Canis lupus familiaris: one gene and its partners. The protein of the gene in region 1 interacts with the protein of each later gene in a pairwise test. Links are inferred from orthologs where the notes say so. Each region holds a gene or a part of one and is shown in the gene's direction. Other genes may lie near its edges.

The links.
Region 2: the proteins of COIL (region 1) and PDLIM5 interact in binary tests that used the Homo sapiens proteins (3 or more experiments, as listed by UniProt). The two-hybrid records come from large-scale screens. The link is inferred for Canis lupus familiaris from reciprocal best matches to the Homo sapiens genes COIL and PDLIM5.
Region 3: the proteins of COIL (region 1) and TAF9 interact in a two-hybrid assay, tested with the Homo sapiens proteins (2 studies listed by BioGRID and IntAct). The link is inferred for Canis lupus familiaris from reciprocal best matches to the Homo sapiens genes COIL and TAF9.
Region 4: the proteins of COIL (region 1) and POLR2L interact in binary tests that used the Homo sapiens proteins (3 or more experiments, as listed by UniProt). The two-hybrid records come from large-scale screens. The link is inferred for Canis lupus familiaris from reciprocal best matches to the Homo sapiens genes COIL and POLR2L.
Region 5: the proteins of COIL (region 1) and NTAQ1 interact in binary tests that used the Homo sapiens proteins (3 or more experiments, as listed by UniProt). The link is inferred for Canis lupus familiaris from reciprocal best matches to the Homo sapiens genes COIL and NTAQ1.
Region 6: the proteins of COIL (region 1) and BYSL interact in binary tests that used the Homo sapiens proteins (3 or more experiments, as listed by UniProt). The link is inferred for Canis lupus familiaris from reciprocal best matches to the Homo sapiens genes COIL and BYSL.

The regions. Positions count from the first base shown.
Region 1 is NC_049230.1:31,705,619-31,709,190, reverse strand, and holds the end of COIL (coilin), read left to right. Parts: intron 1-675; coding exon 676-764; intron 765-2,362; coding exon 2,363-2,446; 3' UTR 2,447-3,330; downstream 3,331-3,572. UniProt on the Homo sapiens protein: Component of nuclear coiled bodies, also known as Cajal bodies or CBs, which are involved in the modification and assembly of nucleoplasmic snRNPs.
Region 2 is NC_049253.1:22,629,831-22,633,904, reverse strand, and holds the start of PDLIM5 (PDZ and LIM domain protein 5), read left to right. Parts: upstream 1-1,257; 5' UTR 1,258-1,387; intron 1,388-2,182; exon of another isoform or gene 2,183-2,330; intron 2,331-4,074. UniProt on the Homo sapiens protein: May play an important role in the heart development by scaffolding PKC to the Z-disk region. May play a role in the regulation of cardiomyocyte expansion. Isoforms lacking the LIM domains may negatively modulate the scaffolding activity of isoform 1.
Region 3 is NC_049257.1:19,523,863-19,526,928, reverse strand, and holds TAF9 (transcription initiation factor TFIID subunit 9), read left to right. Parts: upstream 1-1,475; 5' UTR 1,476-1,603; coding exon 1,604-2,401; 3' UTR 2,402-2,540; downstream 2,541-3,066. UniProt on the Homo sapiens protein: The TFIID basal transcription factor complex plays a major role in the initiation of RNA polymerase II (Pol II)-dependent transcription.
Region 4 is NC_049239.1:45,633,304-45,636,305, reverse strand, and holds POLR2L (DNA-directed RNA polymerases I, II, and III subunit RPABC5), read left to right. Parts: upstream 1-1,244; 5' UTR 1,245-1,314; coding exon 1,315-1,409; intron 1,410-2,192; coding exon 2,193-2,301; 3' UTR 2,302-2,493; downstream 2,494-3,002. UniProt on the Homo sapiens protein: DNA-dependent RNA polymerase catalyzes the transcription of DNA into RNA using the four ribonucleoside triphosphates as substrates.
Region 5 is NC_049234.1:22,159,719-22,163,290, forward strand, and holds part of NTAQ1 (protein N-terminal glutamine amidohydrolase), read left to right. Parts: intron 1-2,764; coding exon 2,765-2,864; intron 2,865-3,572. UniProt on the Homo sapiens protein: Mediates the side-chain deamidation of N-terminal glutamine residues to glutamate, an important step in N-end rule pathway of protein degradation.
Region 6 is NC_049233.1:10,768,188-10,772,321, forward strand, and holds the start of BYSL (bystin), read left to right. Parts: upstream 1-1,321; 5' UTR 1,322-1,478; exon of another isoform or gene 1,479-1,685; 5' UTR 1,686-1,699; coding exon 1,700-1,967; intron 1,968-4,134. Other genes in the region: MED20 (mediator of RNA polymerase II transcription subunit 20), read right to left, coding at 1,130-1,143. UniProt on the Homo sapiens protein: Required for processing of 20S pre-rRNA precursor and biogenesis of 40S ribosomal subunits. May be required for trophinin-dependent regulation of cell adhesion during implantation of human embryos.

The DNA.
Region 1 (3,572 bases):
GACATTAATTCTTAGTCTTTCTGGTGTTTTAGATTACAGTGTACTATATTTACTCTTTTTTTCATCTCCCAGTACAATAGGTTTTAATGTTTTGACAATTTTTAAAAGGTCCTGATAATTTTCCCCATTTGATTATTCAGATTGTTTTGCATGATTTCAGCCTGCAAGGTCATTTTTGTAGCCTCACACTACCATACAAAGTGAGGACTGCTGTATTACCAAGTTGTAAGCATGTTTAATTTCTGAGGACACAGAGCAAGATAGACAAATTTTGCAGAATTCATATTGCCTTTCCCTGCTGGAACATATCAATGATCTTTTGGATTATCTAATGGTTACACATATATTTTTTTTTCTGAGAGTACTAATAACAGGGTGACAAGCTTGTTTATTTTTTGATGAAGGAAAGATTGTCTCTGATAAATGACCAAGAAACTACCTCTGCTGTTACAGTTTTTTTTGTTTGTTTGTTTTTTTGTTTTGTTTTTTTGTTACAGGGTTTTTTAAGGGTCTCCTGTCACTGAGCACTCCATGCTTTCATGTGCATACCCAGCCTCTACATCAGTGGACAGTTTGTTTGTGGTTGTTTTTCTAATGATATAAGTTCCCTGTAGATGAACATTTTCACTACCGGGAAATGACTTATTGTCTCTCCTTCCTACCATCTGGTTTCAGCCATGAAAGAACCTGGGAAATTTGATTTGGTTTATCACAACGAAAACGGAACTGAGGTAGTGGAGTACGCTGTGACGCAGGAGAAGAGGGTAGGCACGCTTCTCTTCTTGGGATTGCTTGGTTGTTCATTCTCTCTCCACTGGCTCCTGGTGGTCTGGAAGGTGACATTGCAGCTTCCTGAACTGCCTATGTTAAAGCCATAAAAGATGTAGGCCCTGGGATCCCTGGTCTGCCTACAGGGTGGCAGTTTCAGTGTCCAGTGCCAAGTTAGGGTGCCATCTTGGATCTCAAAGAGCCTATGTGACAAGGCGCACAAATAGCAAAGTCTTATTGAAGACTATAGAGTTGCATAAAATCGTAGTTATGTCACAGTTTTGGTAGAAAAGAATAGTGTATTTAAAAAACTTTATTGATATATACATTGAGAAAAGTATACTTAAATATATAGCTTGAACAGTTGTCACAAATGAACATACCCATATCACCAGCACCTAGGTCAAGAAGCAGAACATTAATAACAGCCCCCCTGGAAGTCTCCATCATGCCTCCCTGTAGTTACTACTACCTCCCGGTTGTTACTGTGATTGTGACTTACAACAGCATAGATGGTTTCAAAGAATGACATAAAATGACGATTCTGTCTTTTGACTTCTGCTTAAATCCTTAAAGTGCCATTTTAGGAAATATCTGGTTTAGAGCTTTTAGACAGCCAGACTTCCAGAATTGCTGGCAATGACTGACTCATGAGGCTGTGCTAACATTAAGCTAAATAGAATTTATATTTAAGAAAATGCTTCCTCTTAAGGTGTTTATATTTGAAATGTTATGGTTATTATTCTGTAACTTTCAGTATTGAAAAGTCACATTTTAGAAATGTAAACTTGTAGAAACCCTAACCAGACTATGTTTTGCTTTGTCTTTAGGATAGATGACACTTTTAGGGATTTATTCCAAAAATACATTTTTAGGGTCTGTGGGATCAGCAGATTTGGCCAAGTCTCCTGTACTTCTTTATTTGCAATGTATGCCTGTTCACTTTTTTGTTGAAATGTATTCTTGGAAACTACATTGGAAAATTAAACCTTGGAAGCTTTCCTCTCTATGCCTTATTAAATGGGGCCTGAAGCAGAGCCTGTCATTCATTAACCTTTCTCTGACACTAGATGGCCCTCGTGATTCATCCACATGGCCAAGCGTTAGTATTTGCTCTTGGTAAAACCTGAACCGCCTAGATTTAGGTAGCAAAGGATAGGAACTGTAGAGCTGTGCAAAGGAACATCAGGAGTCCAGTAATAACCCTAATGGGCCATATCTGCCTATGAAGAGTATTTGTGCCACTGAGCCACAGGGTCTGGTTGGGCAAATCCTCTTGACCCTGGGTAACCAGCTGCCCCACACCCTAGCCCATCCCACCCCCTGCTTGAAATGAGAGAAGGGTGAAATGTGTTTATTTATTTTATTTATTTATTTATTTTTTGTGAAATGTGTTTAAAGTGTAGTTGCATTCTAGGTAAACAGGTGCTTCTGTCCTAATTGAACTCAGCTTACTGGGACTCAGATCATTCCAGGTCTTCTTCAGCCAATTCTGCACAAATGGAAATTTACTTGACTGAAGTTTTTAACCAACTAAAATTTCTGTGACCTCAAAATGAAACCTCTAAACCAAATATTTTGTGTTTTTCCCCAGATCACTGTTTTTTGGAGGGAGTTGATTGACCCAAGATTGATTGTTGAATCTCTGAGTACCACACCAAGTACAGAGCCTGCTTGAGGATGACCTCTCCACCTCATAGTTTATAAATGTTTTGTTGGTGAAAGCGACTATAACCTGAACTTTAAGAAAAAAAAAAAAGATTCGAAAGTTGTATGCATTTTTTGTTCACTTTACTGCATAGGAAAAAAAATCTACCTCATCATTTAAAATAACATGGATATGCTTTTTGTAGATCTTTTTTTTCTTCTTCCAGGCTTAATTTCAGTAACAAAATTTAAAACATGACATTCCCTGCAGGCATTGTTATATATCAGTATATATGGTTTCTTCTCTTTTTTTATTTATTTTTTGACCATCAAGTAGCCAACGTCAGTAGGAGTTTATAACACCAAGTACAAGAAAATGCTGCATATCTTGTCTCAGTAAGTTCTATTAAGTAACATTTTAAAACATGAAAGCATGTTACTTGACCTAATTTTTTTAACATTCGAGTTGTTCCATTAAATGTGGAACATCTTATAAATTGCAAGTATTTTATACTTGTAACTGTCAAGAATTTAAAAGTAACTGGGTTTGTTGCAGGCAATGAGTTAAGGAATCCTTTCACATTTTTCTCAACTTTAAAATTGAGGATTTCCAGAGCCCTGGGTAGAGCAATGAAAATAAGACTTTGTATGTTTGCCTGGGGACGAACTGGTATTCCACCTGGGTGAGGGGATTTCCTATGAGTTCAGGCCAGGGAACCTGTTATCTTACTACAAGATCCCAAGCACCTGGCTGAGTGTGCTGGAGTGAGGACTGAACAGAAACTCTGGTTTCTGTTATTATTCAACACAAAGCTAAAATGGCTAAATATATACTGTGAAAATTGCTTCCTTTTAACAAAGATTAGGTTCCTCTTCAGCTTTGCAAATTTTTAAATAAAATCATATTGAACTAAACTTCCATGCTGAGTCATCATGTTTAGTTGAGTATTGTAAACTGCCGTCTTATTTCACAATAACACGAGAGATACAAATGTTCTGGAACAGGAAAGTTTGCTTTGACTGAAGAGTCTATCGTTGCAAAGCTTAGTCCAATGAGATGCATTAGATCTAGGAGCTATTGGGCCGGTGGTGCTGTCCAGTTTTAACCTGCATGACATTGATGTGTATCAAATGTGTATTTATTGATCTGTAATGGG
Region 2 (4,074 bases), on another chromosome or scaffold:
GTTAATTAAAATGATACAAAAAATTCAGTGCCTTAGTCACATATTTCAAATGTTCCATAGCCATATGTGGCTAGTGGCTACCATTTTGGTCAGGGCAGTATTGGACCTTCTCTAGAAGGCTGTTGTACATTTAGGAGATTCATGGAGTTCATTCTTGCTTTACATGACCCTTGGTTAAAAACTGTCCTTTTCACTTTCTAGAACCCAATTACTTGGGTTGCTCATTGGTTGAATGTCTGCTCTTGGCTAAGGTGGTGATCCTGGAGTCCTTGGGATCAAGTCCTGCATCAGGCTCCTGCTGCTCCCTCTGCCTGTGTCTCTGCCCCCCCCCCCCCCCCCCCGTGTCTCTCATGAATAAACAAAATCTTTAAAAAAAAGTCAACAGGGATCCCTGGGTGGCGCAGCGGTTTGGCGCCTGCCTTTGGCCCAGGGCGCGATCCTGGAGACCCGGGATCGAATCCCACATCGGGCTCCCGGTGCATGGAGCCTGCTTCTCCCTCTGCCTGTGTCTCTGCCTCTCTCTCTCTCTCTGTGACTATCATGAATAAATAAAAATTAAAAAAAAAATTTAAAAAAAGTCAACAGGTTACTTTCTGTATATTCACTGCACATTAAGTTTGCTTATGAATAAATTCCTTGGGATAAATCCAACAACTTTATAGAAACTGAAAAGTGGGCTACTGATTTGTCGGACTTCGAAAAAAAAAAAAATAATGAGGATATGCTGGTTAAACGGCTTTTGGCCCTTGCTCTCTATCCCTGTATTCTGGTATGATCACAGAATTTAGCTTCTAGATATTACGGGTTACCGGTTTCCACCTTCCTGACACGTAAACTTCAGGGTCTGCACCTTTTAGGGCATGTAAAGCTCTCTCCAAAAACCAGGCAGTAGCCGCTGAACTTGCATAGCTAGGGATTTATCCAAAGCCCCCTTCTATTTTTAGCCGGAACAACTGCTTGCCAACTCATTTCTGGAGAGAGAAAAGCATCCGTTACAAAACAGACACGCGGAGCGTACCTTTGCCAGGTACTGCTCGGAATCCCCTGACTACTCCCACCGAAACTCGGTAGCTCGATTGTTCTCCGGCGCCGGCTGCAGCGCGCCTCGGCACGCCCGCGCGCCCGACTCCGCCCGCCCCGGGCAGCCCTGCACCGCCGCTGCAGCCCTGCACCGCCGGGGCGGGGCCCGGAGCGCGGGGGGCGTGTCCCCGCCTGGGGGCGGGGCCGGGAGCGCGGGGGGGCGTGTCCTCCCTGGGGGCGGGGCCGGGGAGTGCGAGAGGGCGGAAGTCCCCGGGGGCGGTGGGGCCGGCGCGCGCACCCCGAGTCACTTGTCAGCGCTCGTCTGAGGCGGAGGCTGCGGAGGCTGCGGCGGCGCTGCGGGCTCGAGGTGAGTGGCCGCCGGGCGGGGATGCGGACCCGGAGGGAGGAGGGCGCGAAGCGGTCTCCCTGCGCCCGGGACGCGGGGGGCCGCGCGGCTGTGGAGGAGGAGGAGGGGGCGCGCCTCGCGCGGGGCCGGCTCCTCAGGTGCCTGCCGGAGCGGTTGAGGTGAGAGCCGCGTGGGAAGACGAGCTCCGGGGCAGGGCGGCGCGGGAGCGGCCGCAGGGCCAGAGCGCGAGCGCTGCGAGTTCCCGGAGCCCGGGTGGTCCGGCACGAGCGCGGCGGCGGCGGCGGCGGCGGCGGCGGGGACCCGCCGGGACCCCTGGGCGCACCCACGTCAAGCACGAACCTCGTGGCGTGTGGGGAGCGGGGCTCCACGCGAAAGGCGCGTTATTTTTATTTGTTTGCTTTCTCGCTCCTGAGACGTGTTTATTTCCCCTCAGATATTAAAAAATTGAGTACTCGTGTGGGCAGACTGCCGTGCGACCTGAAAGAAAGCTTTTTTAAAAAAAAAAAATCTGTGGTAATCTCCAGATTTGTTGATACTCGAGTACTTGTTGGGACTTCTGTTGAGGCTGTGCCTTCGGTGCGTTCGATGACAGAAGTGGATAAAGGAAGGGGGGAAAGAGGAGCGAAAATTCGTGGCCGCGTTGGGCAGGGCAGGGCAGGGCAGGGCAGGGCAGGTCCGGGGTGTGATCGCCAGCTCCCCTCCCAAGGCCGCCTTCCTGACCGTGAGGGCGTCGGACCTGCCCGCCGCGGAAACGGCCCGCTCCGGAGCCTTATTTGGCCAACGGGGCTAGGCGTGAACCTCTTCTGGAAAACTGCCTGGTCGACTCCTCTCCTAGTGTGCGCGCCCGTAGCTTGGGTTCTTCAGCTCCGTCTCCGTTTTCTCCCTCAGTTTGGGAAAAGAGAATCGCAAGATACTGCTTGTTCTTCAGACCGTTCCTGTCACTGTGAGTTGCCCTTTCCGCCTTCCCGCTCACCGAAGAGGCGAAGAAGCCGGGGGTGGGGGGTGGGGGGGTGGGGGGTGGTTAGAAGTGTGGGAATTACCAAGCTTCCTTCCCAAGTGAGAGAGCGAAGACATTGTTTAGACTTTGCCCCAAAGAAAATTCCCAAGCTGTGTAGAGAAGGTCCAACATTTCCTTCGTGTTCGAAAGCAGAATGGGCTGCTCGCTCTTTCCTGCCTGCTTAGTATTTCAGGAGGAGTTTTGGGCACTAATAACCAGACGGAGGAGATCTGGAAAAGGACAGCGAGGATATTACCATTGCTTGGGGATCAGAATGTTTTTTAAGGCAAGTGAAGCTAGCCGAGGGGGAATACTAGAAGTGAAATGACATGGTTCTGTAGTGCGGCTATGACCTTGCCAGGGCTAGCAATTCTAATAAACGAGGTAGGTCAGGAAGGGAGTTCCCAAGTAAAGGGAAGTTGTATGTACATGGTTTGATATATAAATTACATACATTCTCTTGTAGGGAATAATGGGGACGGAAGAAGTTGAGCCTAACTTCCACATTCTTCTCTTGATACAAGTTAAAGATTAAAAAAGGAGGGGGCAAGCTGCCTGTGAAATATCTGTCGGCTCTACACACTTCTGATATGTATCCTAGAATTCCAGTGTCAGGGCGGTCTTTATTAGTTCTATGAAAATCTTTTATTACGGCAGGAAAGCAATTAAATTATGTATGGCTCTTTAATTTTTCTACTTATTTGTTCATATGTATCTACCAGTTTGACTTCTGGAATGGCCAGTGGGTCTTTTAGGGCCCTGTGCATATTACATCAGTCCTGAATTTGTCCTGCCATGCCAGTGTAAAAGCTCATTTCTTTTCTGGTTAGATGCAGTGTAGATTTTTATTGGTTTAATTTTTCTTTAAGAGCCAGACTTGAAAGTTTTGCCTCATTTCCCCCTTATTAGAGGATGTAATCTGTTTGTTTTTATTATACACAGTAGTTCGATATGTACATTTGCCAATATTAATTTGGTGTAATGGGATCAAAGATTTGAATGGGTTAAAAAAATGGAAAAATGTTTTAATGTAAGTAATATAAGGTGATGATTTAGTCCAACAGCACAGATTGTCCAAGCAAGTGTGCCTTCAATGGTTTTAAGATTATTAAATTATACATCTGTTGTATTTTCAATATTTTTATTTTTTTAAGGTTTTATTTATTTATTCATGAGAGACACACACGGGGGCGGGGCGGGGGAGTGGGAGCAGAGACACAGGCAGAGGGAGAAGCAGGCTCCATGCAGGGAACCCATGTGGGACTCAATGTGGGACTCGATCCTGGGTCTCCAGGATCACACCCTGGGCTGAAGGCGGCGCTAAACTGCTAAGCCACCAGGGCTGCCCGTTAATATTTTTGAAGAGAGAAATGTTTCATAGCATTACATTTTAGAAAATATCCATTTCTTCCAATTTCTCCCACCACACATAAACATCACATCAACCAATACCAAACTCAAAGTCACACTTTTTTTTTTTTTTTAAGATTTTATTTATTTATTCATGAGAGACACAGAGAGAGAAGCAGGCTCCATGCAGGGAGCCTGACATGGGACTCGATCTGGGACTCCAGGATCAAGCCCTGGGCTGAAGGCAGGCGCTCAATTGCTGAGCCACCTAGGCGTCCCCACACTTCTTTTAATTATATAAAAGTCCAACCATGAGAGTCATTGTGGGTGTACTTACAGC
Region 3 (3,066 bases), on another chromosome or scaffold:
TTTTATAGCTGAGTAATATTCCATTATATGGATATACCACATTTTGTTTATCCATTCCTTTAGTTAATGGGCAATTGAGTTGTTTCCACTTTGAGCTACTGTGAGTAATGCTGCTATAAGCATTTGTGTACACATTTCTGCGTGTACCTATGCTTTCATTCTTTAGTGTATATACCTAGGAATGGAATTGCTAGATCATAGGGCTACATCACAGAAATATAGGTCACAGAAATATAAATTCCTGCCCAAGAGAGTTAAGATACATGTAAGTCTCTTAATATGTATCTCCAAGTTGCTTTTCAAAAAGCTTTGAATTAAGTTTTAACTCTATGATTGAAGATCTTACTGTTATTCATGGTCGGTTCTCAGGAGTAATGATGTCCCAAAATAACAGCCTAGGACAGTGTTGTCCAATAAAAATATCATACAACTCATTAGGTAATTTAAAATCTTCTAGTAGACACATTTTTTAAAAAAGTAATAAACAGGGGAGTGTGGGTGGTGTAGTCCGTTAAGCATCTATCTGACTCTTGATTTCAGCTCAGGTCATGATCTCAGAGACATGAAATTGAACCTCACCTCGGGTTCTGTGCTGAGCACCAAGTCTGCTTGGGTTTCTCTCTGCCTCTCCTTCTGCCTCTCCCCTTGCACACTCGCGTGCTCTCTCTCTTTCTCTCTCAAATAAGTCTTTAAAAAAGTAATAAGTGAAATTAATTTTAATAATATATTTTATTGAACTCAATATATCCAAAATATATCTTTTCAAACTATATATTTAAAAATTATTGCTAAGGTTTTTTTTCTTCTTTATTCACATTCAGTTTCTGAAATCTAACATGTGTTTTACACTTTACATCTCCATTTGTTTTTGTTTCTGGTTTGTTTTTGTTTTGTTTTGTTTTGAGATTGTATTTATTCATGAGAGACACAGAGAGGCAGAGACGCAGACTCCCCACAAGGAGCCAGATGCAGGATTCAATCCTGGAACCAGGGATCATGCCCTGAGACAAAGGCAGATGCTCAGCCTCTGAGCCACCCAGGTGTCCCTCACATCTCCATTTGAACTAGGCACATTTCCAGTGCTCAGTAGCCAAGTGTGGCTTAGTGGCTACTGTATGGAATAGCACAGGTCTAGGAATTTGGCTATCTTCTTTGGAAGGTGGCAGGCGGTTACTTTTAAAAACATATCCTCATTTATGTCCCTTTGTTACCTTACTCTTTTTAATAAAAATGAAGCAGAAACAAAATTTAACTGACTAAAAAAGCCTCCTAGATAAGAGAATGGCTTACTAAATACTGTTTTACTGCTTCATATTTCTACCTGTTGAGTAACAATGTATAATGGGTGAAAAAAAAGACAACTTTAAAAGATACACTCCTTTATTCCAGCTTACTTGAACAGATCCTGGGGCTAGTTTTGTTTCTAGAATCTACATTATGTTACTGAATGCTAAACACCAGTGCAATGTTGCTCCCGAACATCCTGCTCACCGGTACCCCGGGGGTTGGAAAAACCACACTAGGCAAAGAACTTGCATCGAGATCAGGATTGAAATACATTAATGTGGGTGATTTAGCTCAAGAAGTCTGATCAACAGATATCATGGAGTCTGGCAAGATGGCTTCTCCCAAGAGCATGCCGAAAGATGCACAGATGATGGCACAAATCCTGAAGGATATGGGGATTACAGAATATGAACCAAGAGTTATAAATCAGATGTTGGAGTTTGCGTTCCGATATGTGACCACAATCCTAGATGATGCAAAAATTTATTCAAGCCATGCTAAGAAGGCTACTGTTGATGCAGACGATGTGCGGCTTGCCATTCAGTGTCGTGCTGATCAGTCTTTTACCTCTCCTCCCCCAAGAGATTTTTTATTGGATATTGCAAGGCAAAGAAATCAAACTCCTTTGCCGTTAATCAAGCCATATTCAGGCCCCAGGCTGCCACCTGATAGATATTGCTTGACGGCTCCAAACTATAGACTTAAGTCTTTACAAAAAAAGGCATCAACTTCTGCGGGAAGAATAACAGTTCCACGGTTAAGTGTTGGTTCTGTTACTAGCCGACCAAGTACTCCCACTCTTGGTACACCAACCCCACAAACCATGTCAGTGTCAACTAAAGTAGGGACTCCCATGTCCCTCACAGGGCAGAGGTTTACAGTACAGATGCCCACATCACAGTCCCCAACTGTAAAAGCATCAATTCCTGCCACATCCGCAGTTCAGAATGTTCTGATTAATCCATCATTAATTGGGTCCAAAAACATTCTTATCACTACAAACATGGTGTCATCACAAAATACTTCCAATGAATCATCAAATGCATTGAAAAGAAAACGAGAAGATGATGATGATGACGATGATGATGACGATGATGACTATGATAATTTGTAATCTAGCCTTGATGCTGTAACCTGTAAACTTGGTCTTAAATCCATTGTACTGAGATTAAACGTGCATGCTGGGTATTTTGAAGTTGTGTTGTAGAAAACTTAAATGGTATTTAATGAGTAAATATAGTTATCCTTTCCTATTGAATGTTGGGTTTTCTTTAATAGGATTAGTAATGGTTATTCATTAGCCTTTAAGTGTGAAAAATAAAATTGTTGTTCATCAAAAAAAAAAACAAAAAACACCAGTGCAAACATTCTCTTAAATTAATAAAAATTTCTTTTGTTGAGTCTTTAATGATGAAATGAACAGGAAAGAAGAAAAGCAAGAAATAGATTTGACTGTGCTATACTGATGAAAACCATGTTTTTCAATTTATTCTCACAATAAAAAGTATTTGATCTGAAATCCTATATAATCCCAGGATGCAACAATCCTTCTCTGTTGTATGGCAACTTCCTGCCATGCATAATTATTTTCCAAAAGCGTATCAGGTCAGAAATGAAGCAGAGAATGGGGGAAAGAGTCCATAGTGATCTTAGGCAGATTTTATTTTACTAGTAGGAATCAGTTGGATAGTTATTACCACCTGGCACTGCTAATGAGTCTAGTTGGGAAAACAAAGCAGCAAAGCATTCCACAGCAGACTGCACCGTGGTCCAGTTCTG
Region 4 (3,002 bases), on another chromosome or scaffold:
GCGCCTCCCAGGCCCCAGGGGACCCTCAGGCTCCCTCCCTGAAGCTGAGGCCAGAATCCACCACCCACCGTGGGAGGGTGGGGAGTACAGGCCCCACTCATGCCCAGCCCACCTGACTAGCTGACACCCGCCCCCCCCCCCCCCCCCGCAGGCGCTGCTCTGGAACACATCCATCCCCACAGCCCCAAAGTCTGCCTCCTCCAGGGAGCCCTCCCTGCCTCCCCCCACACAGATCTGCACACACCCCCCCCCCGTGGCCCCCGGATCGAGGAGCTCACCTCACCCCGCCCCCAGGGACACAGCCTCATCGTCCCTTCCACCCTCTGTGGCTGCTGCCCCACCATCTCTGACTCCACCACCTACTCCAGCCCTGGCACGAACCCGCGGCCTAGAGCTGCCCGCAGGTATGGCCTCCAGGGCCCTATCCAAGGGGTCCCCCGGCCAGGATCAATGCGCTCCCCGACACACGCGGGCTCTGCAGGGCGCCTCTTCCACGCCGCCCTCCAGGACCACCCGCTCCAGCCTCCGCCCTGCTCTGAGTCCTCAGAGCCCCGACCGCCCGCACCCCCAGGCCCTTCCCCCAGGGCCGCAGAGGGCAGGCTGGGGCGCTGGGGGGGCAGGAGCTGCGGCCGAGCCGGCCGTCGGGGCTACAGTGCGGCCGAGCGGGCCGGGCCGGGGCGGGGACAGCCTTCGCCGCGCCGGGCCGGGAGGGGCCGCGGGAAGGTCCCTCCGGGGCCCCCCTGCCCCCGCCCCCCGCCGCGGGTCCCCGCGCCCCCGGCCCCGGCCCGGCCCCGCCACTTGTTGCTGCGGCTCGGCTCGGGGCTCCAACTCTGCGCCCGCTCGGCTCGGCCCCGGCTCGGGTCCGGGTCCCGGTCGGGGGTTCCGAGGGGCGGGACCTCGGCCGCATCCCCGCGGACCGGCTCTGTACCTGCGCGCGGTCCGCCCGCCGCGCAGCTGTCAGTCATGCGGACACGAGGAAGGCGAAGCGCCGCCGTCGGGCCCTTTCGGTCCCGCTAGGCCGCCGTAGGCCGGGACGTACCAAGGCGAAGGGCCGGGGGGGGGGCGACGCTTGCTCCGGTAGCGGCCGCGTGGGCCCCGGAGCCCCCGGTCCGCGCGGAAGGAGCTCGGCCCGGCAGGGAACGGACGGCGGCGGCAGTGGGGCCGGGGGGCGGGCCGGGGGCGGCCGGGGGCGTGGCGGGACTGGGACTTCTCCCCCCCGCGCCATGGACGCGCCCTCGGCGGGGCCTGCTCCCGGGCGGAAGCGCCGCCCCGTCTGCCAGTCCCCGCGCCGCCGCCGCCGCCGCCGCCAGCGCCATGATCATCCCGGTCCGCTGCTTCACCTGCGGCAAGATCGTCGGCAACAAGTGGGAAGCCTACCTGGGGCTGCTGCAGGCCGAGTACACCGAGGGGTGAGGCTCCGGGCCGGGCGGCGTGCGGAGCCGGGGCCGCGGGGGGCGGGGGGGGCCCTGCTGGGCGCGGGGCCGGCGGGTCGGGCCGGGGCGCGGGGGGCGGGGCGCGGGGCGCGGGGGGCCCCGGAGGGACCAGGTGCCGGCCGCGAGCAAGGGGGCAGGCGGGCAGCGGGACTGCGGGACCGCGGGGACTTGCACACGGACCCCGGCAGGTCGTGGCTCCTGCCCGGAGCAGTTCGGGGCTCCCTGCCCTCCCGCCCTCGGAGGCCCCCGCGCCCGCGAGCCCGCGGCTCTGGGGTCGTGGGCCGGGCTTCCTGGCCACGGAGCCCTGCGGAGCGGGCCGTCCCGGGGCCGCTCTCCCGTCGCTGCCCGTCAGCGCGGGCGTCAGCACCGGCCTCGCGGGCGTCTGCACCTTTAACCCCGGCCTGCGGCGTTTGGGGTGAGCGGGGAGGCCAGGTTGCTGGGGAGTCTGTCGGAAAGACCGAGTGTGAGGGAACCGGCCGGAGGCCCTGGAAGCCCCGGGCAGGAACCGCCCAGCCCTGCGGCTTCCCAGCTCGGCGGCGCTGCACGTCGGAGCAGTGCTCTGGGGATTTTCTGGAAGCCCTTGGGGCAACAGGGGCTGGGCCCCAGGGACACTGACAACTCTAATCGGCTTGGGAAACGGCAGAGAGACGGCTCCCTCCGCGGGGGCGGGGAGGGGGGGCTTGCTCCAGCAGGGTTCGGGTCCTCCGTGTGCCCAGGACTGCCTGCCCCAACCGGGTGTGATCTGCCCCTCACCCACAGAGATGCCCTGGATGCGCTGGGCCTGAAGCGCTACTGCTGCCGCCGCATGCTGCTGGCACACGTGGACCTGATTGAGAAGCTGCTCAACTACGCGCCTCTGGAGAAGTGACAAGTGACCTGCTCACGCCCGTCACCCGGTCACCCGCTGTGCTCACCAGGGGCCGTCTGCGCCGTGCCCCCAGGCACTCCAGTGTGGTCGGGGTGGCATGGAGCATGCCTGTCCACCACCTGTGGATGTGTGTCCCTGCTCTGGAAAGAACTGTCCATTAAAGGTCTTTGCAGAACCATGAAGAGGTCCTAACAGTTGGCCTGGCTTTGTGGGACTCCCTGGTGTTTCTGTGTCCTGCCTCATGCTTGAAGCTGTTTGGGGATAGACGTGGCTCTCACCGTTCAGGGCCCAGAGGTGGCGGGGGTGGTGGAGGGCATCTCACAGCCCAGTGACAGTACACAGACAGCCAAGAGCACTCAGGTTGAGGGTCAGGAGACATTGGCCTGCCCACCACCAGGTTCTGGTTGACCTTTAGGACAAGCACGGAGATCCTCACATCCCTTCCCAGGATCTCAACAACCAGATATTTGAGCCCTGAGTGGAATAACTGCTGCAGTCTCGGCTGCCCATCCTGAGATCTTGCTGCCAGAAGCTTCTAGGCTCCAGCCAAGTTCCTGTGGAGGGGCAGGGATGGTGCCCAGCCTCCATAGCCAGCACTGAGACCCGCACAGTGGGTTGAGGGTGGCCCTGAGGAGGCTCTGCTGGGTGTCAGGGTTTGCCAAGCTCCCGGTGGCCTGGGTATTAGCACTTAATCCTACAGG
Region 5 (3,572 bases), on another chromosome or scaffold:
TATGTTTGCTCCTGCAGGTTTTTATAACTTGGAATAAGTGCCTCCTCTCTGTGTCTTTTAGCTTCTGTCAGATGTTATTTATCTGTTCAGACCCAGCTGAGTGATAATAGTGGTAACCAGTATTTGTGTGGCACTAGGTGGTTTGCAGAACATGTCTGATTCTCTTTGTACTCTTCAGATGTTGGTTGAGCTCCTCCTGTGTGCCAGGGATCCTTACCTTCATGCTTCTCTGATCTCAGCCCATCACCAGTAATCCTTGCAGAATCTTGACCTTAATGCTGCGTTGTTAGTTTTTCTGCTACAACAAAGTAATCAACCAGTAGGTTGGAACGTTATTATCACAATCCCCCCCCCCCTTTTTTAAAGATTTATTTATTTATGATAGGCATAGAGAGAGAGAGAGAGGCAGAGACATAGGCAGAGGGAGAAGCAGGCTCCATGCCAGGAGCCCGACATGGGGCTCAATCCCGGACTCCAGGATTGCTCCCTGGGCCAAAGGTAGGTGCCAAACTGCTAAGCCACCCAGGGATCCCCCCCCCTTTTTTAAAGAGGTGCTAGGATTCATACCAAATCTGGGTTTCTTCCTATTCCACCAGTAACCCCAGCATTTCCAAGTATAAGTACCCCCCTCAACCTTTTAAAAGTAGGCTCCATGCCCAGAGTGAGCCCCATGCAGGGCTTGAACTGATAACCCTGAGATCAAGGCCTGAGCTGAGATCAAGAGTTGGATGCTTAACCGAATGAGCCACCCACCCAGGTGTCCCCAGGCCCCCTTTTTTTAAACATCAAGTTTCTTGAGATCCTCCTACATGTTATTAATTGTACTCTTGGGAAAAAAATTGATAATAAAAAGGGGCTACAAATTCAGTGACTCTTAGTTTAAATTTTTATTTCTCTTTGTAACATTCACACATATTTGAAAGATAATAGACAAAGTTTGTCCAGCCACGTACATATTCAGCCTGCCAACAGTACTTGGGGTACACACAGATTCTTAAAATCTTTGTGTTAACCCTGTGCCCATCCTTAGGCCTGGGGGAAGGGCAACACAAGGAGAAACCCCTGACCTATATGCCCTCCATCTTCCTGTGCCCCTCAAAATCAATGACGCTTCCTTCTGTGCATCTTTTATGGCCTTCTATGATGCTTGCTTATTTATGGATCTGTATGTCTTCTCTCACTGTCTGCAAGCTCTAATTTATCATTACATTCTCCAACCACTTAGCATGGTGCTTTTATATCATGGGTTCTTGATGTCTTTGATCAACTCAAGAATGTCTAGAGGCTGGACAGACATGTCTTCTAAAAATGTGGTCTTAGAACATCCAGGGTTTTTTTTTTTTTTTTTTTTTAATTTATTTATGAGAGACACACACAGAGAGACACACAGGCAGAGGGAGAGGGAGAAGCAGGCTCCATGCAGGAGCCCAATGTGGGACTCGATCCCGGGTCTCCAGGATCACGCCCTCGGCTGAAGGCAGCGCTAAACCACTGAGCTACCGGGGCTGCCCAACATCCAGGTTTTTTAAAATGTAGCTAATACACGTCATATGTCATGTTGAAACTGTACCTTTTTGCTTACCCCATACTACATAGCCTATGGAAGTAGTAGCAGTTTCCTGTTTTTACCTCTGCCACTACTTTTTCTGTTAAGATTTCTTAGGTATCTTATAGAAAAAAATCATAGGAAAAAAATACACTTCATTTCGGTGCTTTAAATGTAGTCGTGCAGGTAGACAAGGTCAAAACTGCATTGAACGTGTGTCATAAAATGGTGGTAGTCCTTAGTGCCGTGTATGCCTTACTTTATTTTCAAGTGGCATAGTGTAGGTGTTTGGAAATTAGACTTTGACAGTTGAATCATGAGTATGAGCAGAGTGTTGATGCAGGTTGTTTTGAACGAAGGTGCTATGTGCCTCATTGAAAAAAAATAATCCAGGGGCTGAGCTGTGAATACTGCCAGCAGTGAATGTTTTTACCTGTGTGGGAGTGTGCCTGTGGCCACCAGTGTGGCTTGGTTTGATGCACTTGGCATTGCTTAGGTGGTTCTGACTACTGTTTTAAATATCTAAAGGCCTGTCATAGAGACATTTATCTGGGGCTGAAATATAGGAAGGTGGATTTTAATTCAGTATGAGAAAACTTTCTAAAAGTCAGGACCTCTGTTGTACCAGAGGGATGTAGGGAATCCCACTCAGAGTCTCTCTCCAAAAGAATTCCTAGGCATATCATGTAACTGCCCTCAGTCCTTTCCAGCCAGAAGCCCTCCTACCCAAAACATTATTCTTGCCCCTTTCCTAAGGGGAGCAGTGAACCAATATTAACTAAGATTTTTCAAGTGTTTAAAATATGATTATCCTCATTTTACAGGTAAGAAAAGTAGATACTCAGGTCAAGATGTTCAAAGCTTCTTACCTTGTTTAAGTGGCTGAGTTGGAATTCCAGCTGTGTCTCGAGTCACTGGACCCAAAGCTGTGGAGTATTGATGTAGCATTTTATCAGTTATAAAATGCCTCCATTTGCAAACACTGCTGGGGCAGGTAACAACTGCTGTGTTTGGAGAGAGCTCAGCACACAGTATAATTTGGGTAACACTTTGTTGGGGATATTTTAGAGGAGGGTCAGGCATCAGCTAGTTATTGAATGAGGTGGTGTTTAAAATCTCTTCCAACTTTTTAATATCCTCATCAGTCTTCTGTTCAAATTTGAAAGACACAGAGAGTCATTGTATAATTATGTTGATGAAACTATTATTTTATTTCAGTGAAGAAAATATCTGGAAGCTCTGTGAATACATCAAAAACCATGACCAGTATCCTTTAGAAGAGTGTTACGCTGTCTTCATATCTAATGAGAGGAAGATGGTAAGTTGGTGACTGATTGCAGAAAGAGAACAAGAGATTTAGGGTGATAGTAGAAACTAAATATAATATATGGGGTCAGTGCTGTCCTAACGTGCTTTATAAAATAAAATAACATTTTAAAGTTTATTTTTGAATGAGATTTTTTTTTCCCCTCATTTCAGGGCACAGTTGAGTTAGAAAAGTTAAGTCCCTTATTTGTAGGTCAAGAAATAGATGATGGTGTATTTACACAAGTTAAAGCTTTTTAAATTCCTTAGACTACAGCCATGTACTCTCAGGTTTGAAGTAAAGATGTTTTTGTCTCTGGAGTTTAAATAAAATTATGATAAACTTACATGAATTATTAAAAAAGCAAACCCTTAAAAAAAAGCCCTTAATATTTTGTAAAGCACCTTTTAAATTTTTTTTTAAAGATTTAGATTTTTAAGTAATCCCTACACCCAATGTGGGGCTTGAACTCACAACCCCGAGATCAAGAGTCACACACGCTACCAAATGATCCATCCTGGAGCCCGTAAAGCACTTTTGTAAGCATCATGTCATGCTAATGGAACCATGATAAAGTAGGCAGGGTTCAGATGGCTGTTTCTGTTTTATAAAGGAGGAGATAGAGACTCAGGGAGCTCCCATAACAATCTGGGAAACTAAGACTTGAGAATCTGCCAGGTCTTCTGATTCCCTGTTGAGGTCTCTTTCTACTCTCCAAAG
Region 6 (4,134 bases), on another chromosome or scaffold:
CCTCTATGCTGCAAGCTTTTCCTTCCAACCCTCATACACTCCCTTACACTAGAAAACTTAGAAAAGGCTTAAAATATCCATTGCAGAAAACACAGGTGCAGTAACCGACAAGCCTACAAGAACCTGAGCTATCAGAAAGACTAGCTCCAGGGATCCCTGGGTGGTGCAGCAGTTTAGCGCCTGCCTTTGGCCCAGGGTGCAATCCTGGAGACCCAGGATCGAATCCCACGTCGGGCTCCCCGCATGGAGCCTGCTTCTCCCTCTGCCTATGTCTCTCTGCCTCTCTCTGCCTCTCTCTCTCTCTCTCTCTCTGTGTGTGTGTGTGACTATCATAAATAAATTAAAATTTTTTTTTAAAAAAAGAGTGGTTCCCACAGGCTCCAGCCCTAACTAGAAACGTGCTAATACTTACCGGTACTCAAAACAAAACAATCCCTAAAATCTAGCATTTTCTCCAAGAGCATTAGGCCCATACCTTTCTCTGCCACCCCACTTATATCATGTTGAGAGATTAAAAGTCCATAGTAATTAGTTACACCAACCATACAATTAAACATAGTAGGAAACGAATTCTGAAGAGGTGACGTGCCTAAACCCCAATCTACCTCCCAACAGCTGCTGCTGCTTATTTTTTTTTTTTTTTTCCCTCTAGACCGAAAATCTTAAGACGGCCGCACCAGAACCAGACACGGGCCGGTCTAACTGCATTAAGTGGCTGTAGGGAGGGGCAGGAGAAAATCTTTAAAAAAAGACGGTTTCCTCGTTGCCTATCCTTTACCTCCTCTAGCTACGCCTGTAGATTGGGTCCTAGTTCGGGCATCCTTAATTTCCACCTCGGGCAGCCCTATGGCCTCCTGGGAAGGAGGAACACAACCACTGATGGGCTCCTGGGACAAAACCTTTCACCTGCCGCCTTTCAGGACGAAGGGAAGTGTCTCCGAGCAAACAAGCGCGGAGAATCTGCAGCCCTCGCAGCGTCTCCATCACCCACACGTTCCGAAGATATCTTATCTTCATCAGCTCATGGGGGACCGCGGTCCCTGGTCCCGGCCCTCCTCCCGGTACACTCCGGGCTCCGGGGCCCTTCCCGACCCCGAGCGCCGCCCAAAAAAGTCCCCTGCGGGCCTACCAAGTCACTCCCATGGTATCGGGCCAGGAGGATGGCAGGAACAAACAATCGGATCACAGTAGTCTCTGGCCGCCCACACTAAGTGAAGACCCCTAACGAAAGCTTCGGCCGAGGGAGGTGCTCCGGAAATGACGCAAAAGGAGAGCGTCCAGTCGACGCGCCCACGAGGAACAGGGGCAGGTCTAGGCATCTCCTCGGTGACGCCTCCAGTGACGTCACTACCCAACTCTGGCCCCGGCTTTGCAGCTAGGCAAGTCCACGTTTGGCTGGGAACAGAGGTCCTCGATCTATGAAAGTAGAAAACCACCGCTCGGACTGCCACCACTTGCAGAAGCCAGCGTTAGAAGCAGTGAGTTCATTCGGGGACCGGCTGGCTCCAGGCCCCGCTCTTACGGGGTGTGGCGGCGCTGATGGCCTTCCCGGCCTCCGGACGCCGGGAGGCGCTGTGAGCTCCGCGGGGGCCTCTTGGGAGCTGGGACTTCACGGCGCAAGTGCGCTCAAGGCTTTTTTTTTTTTTTTTCCTCGTCTGTACCCCACGTGTAAACCTTTCTGGCAGAGTTCTGGAAAAAAATGCCCAAATTCAAGCCGGCTCGCGGAGCTGCAGGCCAGGAAAAACATGCGCCGCTGGCTGAGCAAATCCTGGCTGGGGACGCGGCGCGGGCAGGGCCCCGGGAGAAGCGGCGGGGTCGTGGGACCAGAGAGGAGGACGAAGAGTATGTGGGGCCCCGGCTGACCCGACGGATTTTGCAGCAAGCGCGGCAGCAACAGGAGGAACTCGAGACCGAGCATGGGACTGGGAACAAGGCCGCAGCCCCGCGCGAGCGCACCACGCGTCTGGGTAAGTGGGGGAGGGGGGTGCCAGGAAGAGGGTGGTTAGTTTTGGAGGGAGGGGGAAGTAGATAGACGGCCAAAAGGTTCTGCCAGGGGAATCCTTTGGAATAAAAAAAGTGAAATTGAATAAGGAGTCCGCATCACACCCTTGCAAAGGTGATGAAATGGGAGACCCAGCCCTGGAATAGATTCAGGGTGGTCAGAGCTCTCTATGCCCACTTGTTGCTTTAGATGCTTGCGTCTAGGCAGTCTCTAAGTTAGACCAACAAGAAGTTAATTGGTCACACTATTGAGCACTCCTAACGTTTATCCATCTGTTCTGTACATTCTTGTAGGTTGTCTAGTCCGTACTTTGCACTGTGCTAGGTAGGAGTTTAGATGGTTTTGAGTAAAAAAGGAAGCAAGATAGCCATGACCCTGACTTCAAGATCTTACAGTCTAACCTGAGAGACAATTAAATTGACGATTCGAATAATACATTTCATGATGAAAGTATAGTTTTGGGACACCTGGGTGTCTCAGTGGTTGAGCATCTGCCTTGGGCTCTGGGCAGGATCGCGGGGTCCTGGGATGGAGTCCCGCGTCGGGATCCCAGCGGGGAGCCTGCTTCTCCCTCTGCCTATGCCTCTGCCTCTCTCTGTGTGTTTCTTGTAAATAAATAAATGAAAATCTTTTTTTTTTTTTTTAAGTATAGTTTCATCTTAAAACAAGAGCATTAGTTTTGGGGGTCAGGGTTCCTAGGTTACATGACTTTGGTGCTGAAAACTAGTGGAGAGAGAGCTCTAAGCAGAATGAACGATATTGTTTAGGTGCTATAAAGAGGGAGAGAGACTAATAAAAAGATGGTCTTTTTTTTTTTTAATTTTTTAGGGTGTAAGTGTTGACCTCCGGGTCACTTAATACATTTCTCAGGTCACATCTTTCATTTGTCCTGAGAGCAGTGTTTGACACAATTAAACACTGGCCTCCTGGGTTCGGTATCTTTACTTGGCTTCTGAGCCATCCCATTCCTGTTTTAGTACTTCTTCACCTCTCAGCATCTTTTGCTGGCTCTTTTGTCCCCAGCCTTTTATCATTGATATGCCACAAGTTTGGTTCTTGGACCTCTTCTTTTCATATCTCTTCTCTGGTGCTGTCATCCATTTCACGGTTTAAGTACCATCTATTTGGTAACTGTTCCCACCCTTGTATTCTTGCCCTGATCTCTTCCATGAAAATCAGATTCTTCTATTTTAGCTGCCTTTTTGACATCCCCAATTTGAAATCTAATAGACGTCTTAAATTTATTTTTTTTAAGATTTTATTTATTTTTTCATAAAAGACACAGAGAGAAGGCAGAGACATAGGCAGAGGGAGAAGCCGGCTCCTCACAGGGAGCCCGATGCCGGACTTGATCCCAGAACTCTGGGATCCCTCCCTGAGCTGAAGGCAAACGCTCAACCGCTGAGCCACCCAGGCGTCCCAAGAGATCTCAAATTTAATGTGTCCAAAACAGAAATCCTGATCTTCTCGCCAAACCTGCTCCTCCCACTATCAGCTCAGTTAATAGGATGCTATCCTTCCATTTGATCAAGGCAAGCCTTGGATTTCTTTCTTATTCCACATTTGATATGTTAGGAAATCTTGTTGACTCGTATCTTCAAAATAGATCAGAGTCGGGCAGCCCGGGTGGCTCAGTGATTTAGCACCGCTTTCAGCCCAGGGCCTGATCCTGGAGACCCGGGATCGAGTCCCACGTCAGGCTCCCTGCATGGAGCCTGCTTCTCTCTCTGCCTGTGTCTCTCTCTCTCTCTCTCTCTCTCTCTCTCTCTCTCATGAATGAATGAATGAATGAATGAATGAATAAATAAATAAATAAATAAATAAATAAATAAATAAATAAATAAATAAATCAGAGTCAGACCACATCTCATCACCTTGGAACACAGTCCTATTTGAACCACCATAATCTCTCACCTGGATTATTTTTAGTAGCTTCCTAATTAGCATACAGTCACCCTTACAGTCCACTCACAATAATTGGATGACTTAAAAGACCTCCATGATCTGCCCCTGTTGCCAATCTGACCTCCTCTACTACTTTCCCCTTACTCTCTTCATCCATACAGGCTTTATTTTTCCTTAAACATACTAACTTAGGGCTTTTGTCCTGGTTATTCCTTCTGTTTTCTTAC